2 linked regions of the Pelodiscus sinensis genome follow. The protein of the gene in region 1 interacts with the protein of each later gene in a biochemical or structural test. Links are inferred from orthologs where the notes say so. Each region holds a gene or a part of one and is shown in the gene's direction. Other genes may lie near its edges.

Region 1 (6,885 bases):
GCACACAAATTGGGTGAAGGCTTAAAGATTTTACCAAGCAAATATTAGGGTAAAATACAATGCTTAATATTAGAGTAAAGTACAATGAAGCAAATTTAGAATAAAGTACAATACTTATTAAGAAAATACAATCCTCATTAAGCCTAAGCAAACCTCAGAATAAAATGCAATGCCTATGTGCCGGGAACCCCCTGAAGAAGGACAGCAGACAGACCCCAGTGGCCAGTACATAGCACCTTCTGTGGCTTTGGTCTACGCCGAGGTTCTAATGTTAGGAATATCCCTGGTACTTATATACTGTTGGATCTACAGGAATTACCCCTGTTGTTTTGAGAACCTAACAAGATCGTTGATACATTGCATATTTTCCCCACATCCAATAATTAGCTTTTTGATACTTTGTATATTTTCCTAGGCCAAGTAAGTAGCATTATCAGGTTGGAAACATTCAGCACAGATATCTATGTGACCTTCCCAAGCCCTCCTGCACTCCCATACCAGGTGCATGGCCTTGGGAGCTGTCCCAAAACTTGTTGAAAGTCAACAGTGCATTCCTACACTGTACCATCTTGAGCAAACAGATAACTCTTTGGCTATGTCTACACTGGCGGCTTTTTGCGTAGTAACATCTTAGGCAAGGGTTCTTATGCAAGAAGTCTTGCGCAAGAAAACGTCCACACTGCCATGTGCGAGCTATGCTTTTGCACAAGAGCGCCCATGGCAGTGTGGACACTCTCTTGAGCAAGAAAGCTCCGATGGCCATTTTAGCCATAGAGCTTTCTTGCGCAAGAAACCGCTGTCGAGTGTCCACACTGCCCTCTTGCACAAGAGCCCCTGCGCAAGAGGGCTTATACCTGTTAAAAAAGAGCGTAGTTCTTGCACAAGAAGGCCTCTCTTACCACGCTGTACTGTAAATCTTCTTCCGCAAGAGAGGGTGGGCAGTGTGGATGCTCTGCGGCTTCTTGCACAAGAACAACTGTTCTTGTGCAAAAACCTGCCAGTGTAGACATAGCCTTTGAGAATAACAAAAGAATAATAAGAAGCAAAAAGCATAAATGGCTGCCTAAAGCATCCAGGCCTGTAAGAAAATGCAGGCACGAAAGGAAGGATTGTGGTACACCACCTAATTTCCTCAACCTTACAATCATATTCCCCCCCCCCCCCCCCCAGCGTCAGATTATGCTCTTGACATAAAAGGACAGAAGTGGTTCATTACCTGCAGATCTCCCCTGAACTCTATGGAGATTAACATCAATACTCCACCACTGGGGACTCTCTGCAGGTTCAGGGCCCATATCAGGGAAAGGAAGCTGAGAATGTGTAAATGCATGGGTCACACCTGATCCCTGGAAACACTCAGGCTGTGTCTAGACTGGCATGATTTTCCGCAAATGCTTTTAACAGAAAAGTTTTCCGTTAAAAGCATTTGAGGAAAAGAGCATCTAGATTGGCACGGACGCTTTTCCGCAAAAGCACTTTTTGTGGAAAAGCTTCCATGCCAATCTAGACGCGCTTTTTCGTGATCGGGGCTTTTTTGCGCAAAACAAATCTGAGCTGTCTACACTGGCCCTTTCGTCAAAAACTTTGCGCAAAAGGACTTTTGCCCGAATGGGCGCAGCATAGTATTTCTGCAAGAAACACTGATTTCATACAGTAGCAAGTCAGTGTTCTTGCAGACATTCAAGCAGCCAGTATAGACAACTGGCAAGTTTTTCCGCAAAAGCAGCTGCTTTGTGTGTATCTACACAGCAAAGTTATTTCGGAATAACTATGTGAGTGTCTACACAGCAATTCTATTTCAAAATTATTTTGAAATATTCTGACTTCTGTAAAACTCATTCTACGAAGAATAACGCCTATTCTGAAATAGCTATATTGCAATAATGTGTGTGTAAATGCTCCAATGCTGCAATTATGAAATAGGCCCTTATCAGGGCCATTCTAAGTTATTCCTTCTGGAGCTCTAAATTGAGATAGCACGTCTACATTAGGGAAGCCTGCCTTGGACTAATTTTTAGGCTTCCCTGCGGTATAGACATGCTATTTTGAAATAAGCTATTTTGGAATAACTATTCCAGAACAGCTTATTCTGAAATAACTGTGCAATGTAGATGTAGCCTCGCAGTCCATCCAGCTTGCTGTCTGGTGGTGATGAGTTTCACAGAGACTGAATTAACTGTTTTTGCGGTTCCCTCAACAGTGAAGAATTTCCCCTTTCAGAGGAATCAGGAACTAGCTAGTTGCCATTGGGCCCATGCTGGGAAAGGGGTGTTGATTCCCTAAAGCAGTGGTCACCAACCAGTAAATCTTAGCTCTTGGAGCCTCTGACAGGTGATCCTGCCTGGTTTGGCCAAGAGGCTATCAAGTGCCAGCACTTCAGCTGCCCCTCCTCACACTGCTGCTCATCTCCTGCCTCTCCCACTGGGGAGCCACCTACTTTCTGGGCAGGGCAGGGGAGGAAGATGAGGAGTGATGATATCAGGGTGTCCCCTCTCACTCTGTATCCTTTCTCCACAAAGCAAAGAGTGGGCACAACAAGACTTGGGATGGAATTTGCTGGCTATTTTAAGGAGTAGGTCACTACATCACCAATCAGGAGCCACCTAGGTATGCAAAGCCCAGGTGGAGCCCACATCCTGAACTCCTACATTGGTCATGAACCTTCCCCTGCACCCCAAGCACCCCTCAGAGCCTGCACTTAGAACCCCTCCTACATCCCAGCTGCCTGCTCCAAGAGTGGCTCCAGATCCCTTAATCCAAGACCAGAACCTGCACCCCAACTCTCTGCCCCAGCCTGATGAAAGTGAGTGAGGATGGGCAAGAGAGGGAGGATGGAGCAGGGGTGGGGCCTCAGAGAATGGAGGGGGCCTATTTGAAATCATGGGATGGTGGCTCTAAAAGCCCCTCCCCAACCTTATGGGAGGGACACTGGACCCATGTCCAACTGATTGCTTGGGACAAATAATGACTAAAGGATCAAGAAGTGCGGGCTAGAGGTTCAAAATAAGGGAGCCGGATGGGGACACCGAGCAGAGAACCCCGGACAGCGCCCACTGCTCCTCAAAGCTGTCGATGGAGCCAGTGGACGCCGCCCAGAGGAACTCTGCCCGGATTCATGACACGAGGGAGGAGCAGAAATAGGCCCCACAGTTGCAGAGAACCCCCTTGTCTAACTTCCTCCTCCTGCTATTATAAATGGCAGCTTTCGCTAAGGCCAGGAGGAGGTTGACGAGGAGGTCTCGCGACTTTGTGGGGCCACGGATTGGGTGTGCGTAAATAAAGGGGGAGAAAGTTGGGGCAAGAGTAATTATATTTGAGGTAAATCTTGGATTGCACTTAAATTCAAATGATTTTTCTGCTTAAAAAGGTTGGAGACCCCTGCCCTAAAGCAACTCATGTAGGCACAGAGCCATGAAGTGGATCCTGGACAGAGGGGGACTGGTAAGGTGTGGGAGGAGCTCTGTGGAAAACAGTGGAATTTTCCTCCACCTGTGAGTTTTACCCCCTGGAGCCAGAGAGTTTTATCTCTGGCCCGGTTATATCAGCCCAGCTGTAAGCAGGGGCTAGATCTGAGGGTACAAACAGCCTCACCCAGCTCTAACTTCAAGGGACACGTTCTAGCGCCTTGAAGCGAGCAGGCGGCCAAGGAACGGGGGGGGGGAGGGGAGCGCTGTGCGGCTAGAGGCCAGCAGACCACACAGCCCCGGCCTGCAGCCACTCTAAGCAGCCCCGCTGGCTGGGACTGGCAGCTGCAGCAGCAACGCGGCCAAGGGGCGGGGCTCCGCTCTGCCCCCGCCCCCTACACTGCGCGCCCGAGCAGGCGCTGCCATGTGACACCTTCCCGCGCGCCCCAAGCTGCGTCCTTCTTCCCATCGCTCCAGCGCAGCGAGCCGGGACACGCGCCGAGCCCGGCCAGGGGGCTCAGTCGAGCGCTGCACAGCGGCTCGAGCGGCGGGGCTGAGCCCGGGTGGATTGCGTGGCGCTCGGCTAGCGCGGCGGGTGCCTGCGCTCGCTGCCGCCGGCTCCCGCGCGTCCCCTGCCCGCGCTCGCCATGGCGGAGCCGGCGGACAAGCTGTACCGGGCCGAGTACGCCAAGAGCGGCCGCGCCTCGTGCAAGAAATGCGGGGAGAGCATCGCCAAGGACTCGCTGCGCCTGGCCATCATGGTGCAGGTACCGCGTGGGCCGGGAGCCGGCACCGCCCCCAAGCTCCCTGCGGCTAGGCCGGCAGCGGCCACGTGCCGCCTTCCCCTCGGCGCCCCGGGCCGAGCGTCCGCCCCATTCATCCCTCTCGGTTTGCAGCGCGGCTCGCGCTCCGCGGCTGCAGCCTCTGGGGCTCGCGCGGCGCGGCGGGCTGGGGTCAGCCGGACTTGAGCGGGGTTCCGAGTCGCGAGCGGGGGGCTGCTCTTGCAAGCTGGAGGGGATCGCTGTTTCCGCAGAAGATGGTGTGATCGGTGCACATCAGTCAGAAGCAGTGACGTGATCTCCGGCTGCCCTGACTAGGGGGCATTCGAAGTCCATACCTTGAAATGAGCGAGAATGCGAGATGAAAGGCAGAAGGCAGAGTCATCATTCCCAAGTCATTGCGTTGTCTCAGCTTGCTTGATGCTGTGGTTAGATGATGGCAGAAAGCAAAGAAAACCTTAAGTTATGTGCTAGATGGCTTCCATTTTAATTTCTCTCTATTTGGTTGACAGTAATTAGTTGTGTAATTTTTAGCTGATTTTCACAGGAAGGCATGATTTATTTAGAGTTGACGAAAAGCAGTATAAATTCTATCCCTGATAGAATCTCAGTCCATGTGATACTGGACTCTAACTACATTCACTTCCTCACTGGGGAATATTGGCCATTTACTCCTCAGTATATTTTTTGTGAATTGCTTATCATTTGTAAAGTACATTGGAATGCTCTGTTTACCTCAAACAAAATACAGGACTATGTAGCACTTTAAAGACTAACAAGATGGTTTATTAGACGATGAGCTTTTGTGGGCCAGACCCACTTCCTCAGATCAAATAGTGGAAGAAAATAGTCTCGACCATATATACCCAAGGATACAATTTAAAAAAAACTGTTTACCTCAGTCTGCAGCTTTGAGACCTGTATGTGGAGACAAATAATTGCAGATGGGGGAGGGCTGGAGGTCAAAATGAGGCATTTAGTTGAAGTGTGAACTCAATTTCCATTATTGCTGAGGAACTTTGAAGGCATTTTCCTGGGCAGTTTAAGATGTGTTTTGGACAATGCTATTTGTGTTTGATACACAAATCTTCCTTCCTGTCTGTAGATGAGTTTAACCTATTTTTAGTGGCAAGTAGCATTCCCTCTCTCCCCTTTTTTGATCTTTGCATTTGTAAAGAAATCTGCTTTACCACCTTATCAGTGAATTCTCACACCTTGCTCTATTTTTCCCTCTGGTTAGATGCATTTGTTGCCAGGTCTGACAAGACAGCAAAGCTGCACAGAAGGCTAGTGTACACAAACCTAGGAATTTACCAAGGTTAAAACGTGGTTATGATTACTCTTTTTCTTTTCTTTTTTTTTCAGTCCACACAGGAACACGTGTGTCATAATTATAGTTTGGCCACATCCATGATTAAACCTGGTGCAGAGGCATTCTTCTGTCCTTGGAATTAATACCTTCTTAAACGACATATCAGTTAATTGATTAAACAGGATTTTACATAACCCTAGGCTTGCCTGCGGTAGTGATCACTTACATCCCTAATGGGGAAGAGTCACTACATGTCTAGTCACTTCTCCCCTCTCCCTCCCTCCCCCACCATGCGCAGTGGGGAAATGGTGCAAGTGGGGATCGAAACAGTCCATGCTCGCGAGGGTTCCCAGCTGTGCCTCTGCCTTTGAAATGCACAAGTCGCAGGCGGCCCCCCTTATCGACTAATCAAGTAGTCGAAATTCCATCGACTACTCGATTAGCTATTGAAATTTAACATCTACCACAGACCCTTTATGGAGAGAGGTCTAATTTCTGTTGCTGTTGCCTTTGCTTCAGCCAAATAAGATAACATTCCAGAGTCTTGAGCACTTCACAAATTCCTCAATAGGGGACTTTTCAGATAATGTCCAAGTGCCAACTATTCCTAGTGTGGTTGTGTTCTGATCCCTACATCTCTATGAGCAGGGCTCGCCGAACTGCGGCGAGCCCTGCTTGCCAGCCGCGCTGTCCGGCTATCTGCACATGCGCAGATTGCCCGAACCCAGCTCTTCTGGGTTGGCGAGTAGATTGCATTATTTGTCTAGCTCTGCCTATGAGTGAAAGTAGCACAGGAGGGAGATCTCTTCTCGTTAGGGTAGGGCTTGAAAAATCTGTCCAACTCCCACTGAGTTTATTCACCACTGGCTTGCAGCCTTCTGCTTCCCAAGAGGCACTGATACTCTTCTAGTTGTTTCCATTAAATATAGGAGGTTCCCCCATGAATGGCAAAGGTTTCCTGCATGCCTTTTTTTCCCCTCCCAAAATAGAGCTGTTTGTTGTAACGTAGGTATTTAGCTCTGTAAAACACAAAACCTCAATTTATTAAACTGCCTTTATATTTTTCTTCCTTCCTTTTCTCTTCACTTCTTTTCTTTCTACCACAATATAGCTAGGTATCTTTTCCTCCATCTGTTTTGGTGTCTGCTCTGTTTCCTCTCTTGCCCTCACTTTATTCACTTTACTCTTGCCATTCCTTTCTACCTTATTCTCTGCTTCCCAATCAGACCCGTACACAGAGGGGGTGCAGAGCGTGCGACTACACCTCCCCCTGCCAAGGCTGGGGTGGCATCTAGCCAGCTGGGGGAAGACTGGGGTTGATCTCCCCCCACCATGGGGGAAGAGGCAGGCCAGCCATGGGAGTAGGGCAGCCACCAGCTCCTTCTATGGC
Region 2 (7,229 bases), about 24 Mb from region 1:
TTTGAAGAACCCCTTTTTCTTCCTCCCCCCTTGCTGCCACTATCAGATAAAGGGGGGGAGAGGGGAGAGAGCGACTAATCGACTATCCTGTTGACTATCCGATAATAGTTGACTAGTCCTTCACATCCTAGTTTAGGTTGGACATTAGGAAAAACATCCTGTCGGGTGGTTAAACACTGGAATAAATTGCCTAGGGAGCTTGTGGAATCTTCATCACTGGAGATATTTAAGAGCAGGTTGGATAGACATCTATCAGGGATGATCTAGACACTGCTTGGTCCTGCTGTGACCAAGGAGACTGGACTCGATGACCTCTTGAGGTACTTTCCAGTTCTAGGATTCTACGATTGAATTAATCTGCCATTTTGTTGTCCAGTCACACAATTTTGTGAGATCCCATTGTTGCTCTCTGCAGTCTGTTTTGGATGTATCTTGAGTAGTTTTGTATTGTCAGCAAATTTGGTCACCCTTTCTCCAGATCATTTATAAATACGTCAAACAGTATTGGACTCAGTTCAGATCCTTTGGGGATATCATTTTCTCTCTCTCCCAGAAGGGCATAAGGATCTTGTGCAAAAAGGTGTATTTGCGCAAAAAGGAAACGTCCACACTGGGGTTTTTTTTGTTTTGTTTTTTTTGCACAAAAACAGCTTGAATAGATTATGCAAATGAAGCACAACAAAAGGCTAATCTGTGCTTCATTTGCATACCCTCTGCCAGCAAAGCTGGCAATGGAGACAAAACCTAGGTTACATAATACAGTAATTCTGTTATTCCATAATTAAGTTCCTTCTGAACTGTTGGCTGAATATCATATGCTCCTGGTGACTTATCAGCTGTGAAGACCTATGCAAAGAATTCATTTAGCTTTTCTGCAATGGCCTTATCATTTTTGAACTCTCCTTTAGCATTTTGAATATCCAGTGGCTCCATTGGTTGTTTAGCAGGCTTCCTGCTTTTGATGTATTTAAATGTTTTTGCTGTTACTCAGAATCTTTGGATAGCTGTGTTTCAATCTTTCAGCTTTTCTATATTTCAGCCTTCCTATATTTAACAGCTCACTTGTGAGAATTTGCTACTGTTTTTCTTGATAGGATTTCACTCAACATATTTAGCAGCGTGGCTGGGGCCAGCCTGTTGCTGTGCTGCAGGGGTTGGCAGTCCAGTTAATCGGTTACTCAGTAAGCCTAATGCTTACCAGGTAACTGGTTAACCTTTTACATCCCTGGCATCCATTTTCCATGGATACAGATACAAACTTGCAGGGTTTTCTAAATACAAAATTTGAATCCACAACAGCATCTGCAAAAATGAGCTGTGGATATCCGCATCCAGATCCATGGTTGCTGATACCTGCATATATAAAGTAGATATTCTCAGATTTGCAAGGCTCTAACCAGGTGTGTAAAACTGCCCTCCTTTCTCAATATGTTCCATCCAAGAACTGGTTGATCTATTATCAGGGAACAGAGGATAATTAATTTTTCTTTATGGTACTGTTTTGCCATCTCTTCAGAGCTTCAGAGACTGCCATTTGTGATGGTTGTTGTGACACTGTCACTAAGGCCTGGTCAATATTACAAGGTTAGGTACTTAGGTTGATGCAAGATGACTTGCATTCACCTAATTATGTCAATGTCTACATTAGAATACTGCTTCTGCCAAAATAAGTCACTTTCTATGCCAACATAACTCTAACTCCACGAGGGGTATAGTTCTTTTGTTAATGCAGTTAAGACACTGATTAACTGACACAGCTGGTTGGCCATCAACCCCAGTGGGAGCTGTTAGTTGTAGTCCTCTTTTCTGGTGATGATAGCTACACTTGTCAGCTGTAGATGCTGGCTTGTAGCTGAGGCCATTGTACCCTGCTGACAGTGGGCCAGCAATGAGTGCCATGCCAGTGTTACCATAGGCTGGTGGGCTTCAGCTGTGTCCTATTATGTACCACTTCAGTTGGTGAAGCACTCCTGGTGGGGATATGCACCACCAACCAAAGGAGCAAGTGTGCATGTGAACCACTGGTGGCTTGTACACTGACTTAAGTCAACTTAATTTTGTAATGTAGACAAGCCCTGAGAGCTCACAAGCTTCAGGTATTAGATAACTTTAATTTTTCTCTTCACTGTGGATGGATCAGAAATACTGATAAGGAGAGAACCTTACATCTTAATACTGATTCCCAAAGCTATCCAGGTTCCCAAAGCTAGACAGTCCATGGCCTTTAATTTACCTTCCATGAATATCCATTTCCTCGATCAAAGTCTATCTCTCGCTGACAGACAGCTCTTACAGTTAAACAGTGATGTTTCCACAAATGGTCACTGTTCTCAATTGTGCGATTCCAGCTCTTGCAAGTCATTGCAGCTTTGCATAAGCTCTGAACGTCCAGTTCATTGAAAATTTTCAAGGTGACTTCTGGAGGCAGCAGCTCCACAAAGTCCTCCTGACTTTCTTCTTTCTTTTTGGATGATGGAAGGATGGTCCGTTCTTTACATGAAGTACCTTCCTGTTTGTTCTTCTTTGAGGTTTTCTGCATAATTTATGGTCTCCACACATCCACCATGAGTAATCCTAGGGGTGAAGAAGTGCAGGGGTCACTTATATTATACATGCAGTTAACTTTTATCAAGATAACTCTAATGCTTAAGGATATATGTTCAAGTGCTGCAAGCATAGGGTGACAATCTGTCCTGTTTTTACTGGGACAGTCCCTTATTTAAGGCCGCCTCCTTCAGTCCTGACTTTGTAGGAAAAAAAAAAAGTGGGCACATTATCCCAAATTTCCCTTGCAGGGGGTGGGAGAAGGAACTGACAGCACTCAGGGCCTGGTATCTTCCCCTTCCTTCCCCATTCTGCATGTTGTGGGGGTGAACTTCATCGCTGCAGTGGGGCAGGGTGGATGGGGAGCCACCAGCAGTCAGAGCTTTGGCTGCTGGAATCCTGAGCACTGGTGGCTTCTGTCCCACCCCTGCAACACTGACGCCTTGAGTGCCAGTGGCTTCCCCCAGCTATGGGGCTGAAGCCCCTAGCGCAAGTGGTTGCTCCTCCCTCCCCCGCCCACTACAAGGCTGAAGCTCTGCATGCTGGTGGTGGTCCTCCCCTCCCCCTCCTACAAGGTTGCAGTTCTGAGTGCCAGCAGCCCCCCTTCCCACTCCGCTGCAGGGCTGAAGCACTGAGTGTTGGTGGCTGCACCCACACAGTGAGGCTGAAACTCTGAGCACTGGCAGCCCCCTCCCCGGTGTCCCATATTCTACATAGGCAGGAGCGGCCTAGGCGAACCTTGCAAATCGGTGCCCCCACCTCCAAACCCCTCAACGATATTGTGTCACCATTTGGTACCCCATTTAACTTGGCGCCCTAGGCGATTTGCCTATATGGATAGGCCGCCCCTGCACATAGGGAAATGTGTGGAGCAAGTACAGAGTGCCTTGTGCACCCTACCTGGCCCTGTGTTGCTGCCCCTAGGTGCGACCCGAATGGGCTTGTTCACAGCCTATTGGGCAGTGGCTTGCTAAAGAAAATAGGCCCCACGCCTGTGGGCACTCTGGGACTTGTAGCTTCCATCTGGCGACACTGAAGCCAGCCGGGGGGGCATGGAGGAGAGCTGGAGACGACCACTGCTGGGATGCTGGGTGAGGTGGGGATTTGAACACTGGTGCCTATGGGCAGCTCCATGGCAATCACTCGAGCCGTGGGCGATGCCCTGTGCCCAGGCTAGGCTGCCCCCGCCCCCATGAGCTGGGCGAGGAGTAGACGCGGGTGGGGAATGGGGGAAGCCCCCCGCCCCCAGGGGCCGAGTGTGATGCGAGGGGCTCGTTTTATTGGCTGCTCACGTGTGGGTGGCCCTGGCGGCTTTTCTGTGGGCCGGTGGCTCCCGCCCGCGTTAGACGGTGCCCTGCGTCCGCTGCCAGCCTGGGCCCTGCTGCGGAACTCCCCAGCCCAGGGCGTGGCTGGAGCCAGCGCTCCCCGCAGCAGCCCCCGGCCCAGGCGCGTGGAGCAGTCCGCCCCCTACCTGGCCCCGCGCCGTTGCCCGCCGTTGCCGGTTTTAACGTCTCCCCCATTCGAACGGGCTTGTTTCCACCCTTCCCAAGGTAAACAGGACCCCGCGCATGCGCCGCAGCGGGGCACGCCGGGACTTGTAGTTTGCCTGCGGGGACGCTGAAGCGCGGCCGGGCGGCGCGGGGGAGAGTTGGGAACTACCGTTTCCGGGCGGGGCGGCGATCTGAACGCACAGGGCGGTAGCCAGACGCGCCCGCTAGCTGGCCGCCCCAGAGGGAAGCGGAAGGGCGAGAAGCCTCCCGACCTGGCTCAAGAAAAGTGCAAAGGGGCAGCGGGGGCCGCGCCCTGTCCCGCCCGCGGGGCCCATGCCGGGCTTCGAGCTCGCGCCCGCGGACGGGGGCTGCCCGCTGGCGCTGCCGCCCGGCCAGACCGTGCTGGGAAGAGGCCCCCTGTTGGGAGTAAGTCTGGCTCCTCGGGGGGGCTCCCTGTCCCCGCCCCCGCTCCCGCTGCAGCTCCCCTCTCCCCCCGTCTCCGGCCGGGGAGCCGCCTCGGGCTGGGCCAGGCGCTGTGATTCTCCCGTGAGGGAGCGATTATCCCCCTCACATTATCCCGGGGGGGCTTCTGGGGCCGGAAGGGACCATTGGGTCCTCGGACTTCACCCCCTGGCGGGGGAAGGCGGAATCACAGCCCCCCTCCTCTTTGCAAGCCTATCCCCGCTGTAACTGAGATTCCCTTTTAACGTGACTCCGGGAGCTGGGCGTTAAGAGACACTCGAAACATGAGGAGACTGATCCCTCGCACGGGTTGGCAGTGCTGTTTTGCATTGCCCCGTTCTGTAGCAACACCTTTGTCTGGATTCTGCTCCAAATGAGATGAAATGTGGGGTCTAACTACTCCTGGAGACATTCTGTGCCAAGAAATTAAATTCTGTGCGCGTGGGGGGGGCGGGGAACATTTCAGAGCAAAATATTTTAAAGTTCTATAAAATTTTGCAAATTGTATTTGTCAAAACACTACATAATCATGCCAGTTTTGATTATTTTTTGTATTTTTTTAATTTCAAAATACTTGTCACCAAGCATAGGAAAGTTGTGGTAACACCCAAGAGGTTCACTGCCCTGCTCCCCATACCTCTGCCAAAATTTTGATGGTTAAATGGGGTGCTTCCTTTCTGCACCCCTTCCCCTCTCAGGCATCAGATGCCTATGCCAGCAAATATGTCTGATTGTAACAATACATACACTATCTTTTCCTTCCCCCAGGTGTCAAGTATTCAATCATGAATTGTTTCATAGGGGTTTCTCTGCCCCCTTTCCCAGTTGTTTCCCAGACACCCACAGCCCCTTCCCAGATATTTACATCCTCCTCCCTGTTCCCCCGTAGTTCGAGGTCAGGGATCCAGAGGGAGAAACAGCCGGATGCCTCAGTCCAGGCTTGTATAGGGTTGCTTGCATGCCACTATCTCTTTCCCTCAGAATGTCCTGGATATTACAGGTGCCAGGAACTAGGGATATAAAGGGGTAACTGGCTGACTGGTGCTTGGCTAGAGCAGCCCCCCACCCCATCCACAGCACACCACGGGAAAGGGGTGCTTAAGCCTGGCAGTGGTGCAACATGGTGGACTGGATAACCAGTTAAACATATAGCTAAATGGATTAACATATTAAATGAGGTTTTATAGCCCTTCCAGGAATCCTCTAGGTGAGGGGTCTGCAAATATCAGTCTACCAGGTTTAGCTCCTGGTGGGCTCCCACCACTATATTTGCCTACATGGCTGCAGATACTGATGATTGCAGCTCTCACTGTTTGGCCAGGATCAGCCATCTGCAATGGGAGTAAAATCATAGGCTGGTGCCATCATCAACTGCCATGCTGTCAGGGCACTGACTACCTGTGGTAGTACCTGATGCTGCCCTGATATTTCATCCTTAATCCCAGCCTAATGCGGAGGGGAGGCCCTGCCCTAGAGGCAGTTAGTGAGCAACCCTGCCTCACATGCATGCTTCCGCAGTGGTTCTAGTTTCACTGGGCAAGGCCCTGCGTGTTGTTGACCTGGCATGCTGGATTCCTGGCTATCTAGCTGTTCTGATGTGTGGGTGAAATTGGGATGCCTCCTGCATGTCAGCTCACAACGCTTGAATGTGGAATCAGGCTCAGCCTGTTGGGGCAGGAGCTGCTTCTGCAAGTGAGAGCAGGATACACTCACTTTTCAAGCCCACCTGTGGCTTCTCAGTATTGGGCCTACAACCCATCATTGAGAAACAGTGCTTTAGAACACATGAGGGCATTCTCCAGAAAAATCACTATTTCTGAAGCATTGAGTGCACATTTAAAGTGAAACAATGTTCTCAATAGTATACTTCGAAGTATACCTGTAACCATGAGCTGGTAATAGTATTTTAGATGCGACTTAATTTGGCATTGTCCCTTCATAGGTATCTTTAAACAATCTTAATTTTGTAATTATTGAAGTAGGGATTTGTAATTTGGAGTAGGGATGTAAAATTCCAGTTAATCAGTTAACAAGTTAAATGTTAAGTTAGGTTGACCTAATGTTTAACTGGTTAATGACTAAGCATGATCTGAGCTGAGGACTGCTACAGCTTGGCTTGAGCAGCCCACATGGCTGCTGGTCCCTGCCCCTCCCTTCCGCGCCCCTCCCCCTGCTGGAAGTAGGGCTGGGCGCCTGAAGGGGTCCCTCCCTCGCGGGGGCTGGGACGAGAGCAGCCCCTGTCCACAGTGGTCACCTGCAGCAGGTGGGAAGCTACTGCAGCCCCCACCGGTTACTAGTAAGTGGAATCGGTAAGCATTACCCATTTAAGCTGATGCTTACTGGTTAACCTTTCACACATTTAGTTTAGAAGTATGGCTGCAGTGGTGCAACTGTACTGCTTTAACACTGTAGTATAGATGTTTCCTTCATCTGTGGAGGGGTGTTTCTATCATTGCAGGTATTCCATCTCACTGGGTGGCAGTAGCTAGGTCAGTAGAAGAATTCTTAAGTTGGAGTTCTTAGTGTTGCCTGAAATATGGAGTTGAAGGAGTGAATTTTACACCCCTGAGTGAGGTAGTTATGTCAGTCTAAATGTAAAGTGTAGACCAGGGCTTCTACTCAGCTTCACTTATCCATATTAGCACTTAGTGCTTAATCACAATGGTATCTTTCTTTAGTTAGCAAATAGTGTTGAATTCACCAAAAGCTTTTATACGTATTTTGTTAACTGGT

The links.
Region 2: the proteins of PARP1 (region 1) and APLF form a complex in vitro, tested with the Homo sapiens proteins (3 studies listed by BioGRID and IntAct, with this or other methods). The link is inferred for Pelodiscus sinensis from reciprocal best matches to the Homo sapiens genes PARP1 and APLF.

What each region holds. Positions count from the first base shown.
Region 1 is NC_134713.1:157,460,442-157,467,326, reverse strand, and holds the start of PARP1 (poly [ADP-ribose] polymerase 1), read left to right. Parts: upstream 1-3,882; 5' UTR 3,883-4,051; coding exon 4,052-4,171; intron 4,172-6,885. UniProt on the Homo sapiens protein: Poly-ADP-ribosyltransferase that mediates poly-ADP-ribosylation of proteins and plays a key role in DNA repair.
Region 2 is NC_134713.1:181,608,253-181,615,481, reverse strand, and holds the start of APLF (aprataxin and PNK-like factor), read left to right. Parts: upstream 1-4,220; 5' UTR 4,221-4,367; coding exon 4,368-4,460; intron 4,461-7,229. Other genes in the region: FBXO48 (F-box only protein 48), read right to left, coding at 2,234-2,539. UniProt on the Homo sapiens protein: Histone chaperone involved in single-strand and double-strand DNA break repair.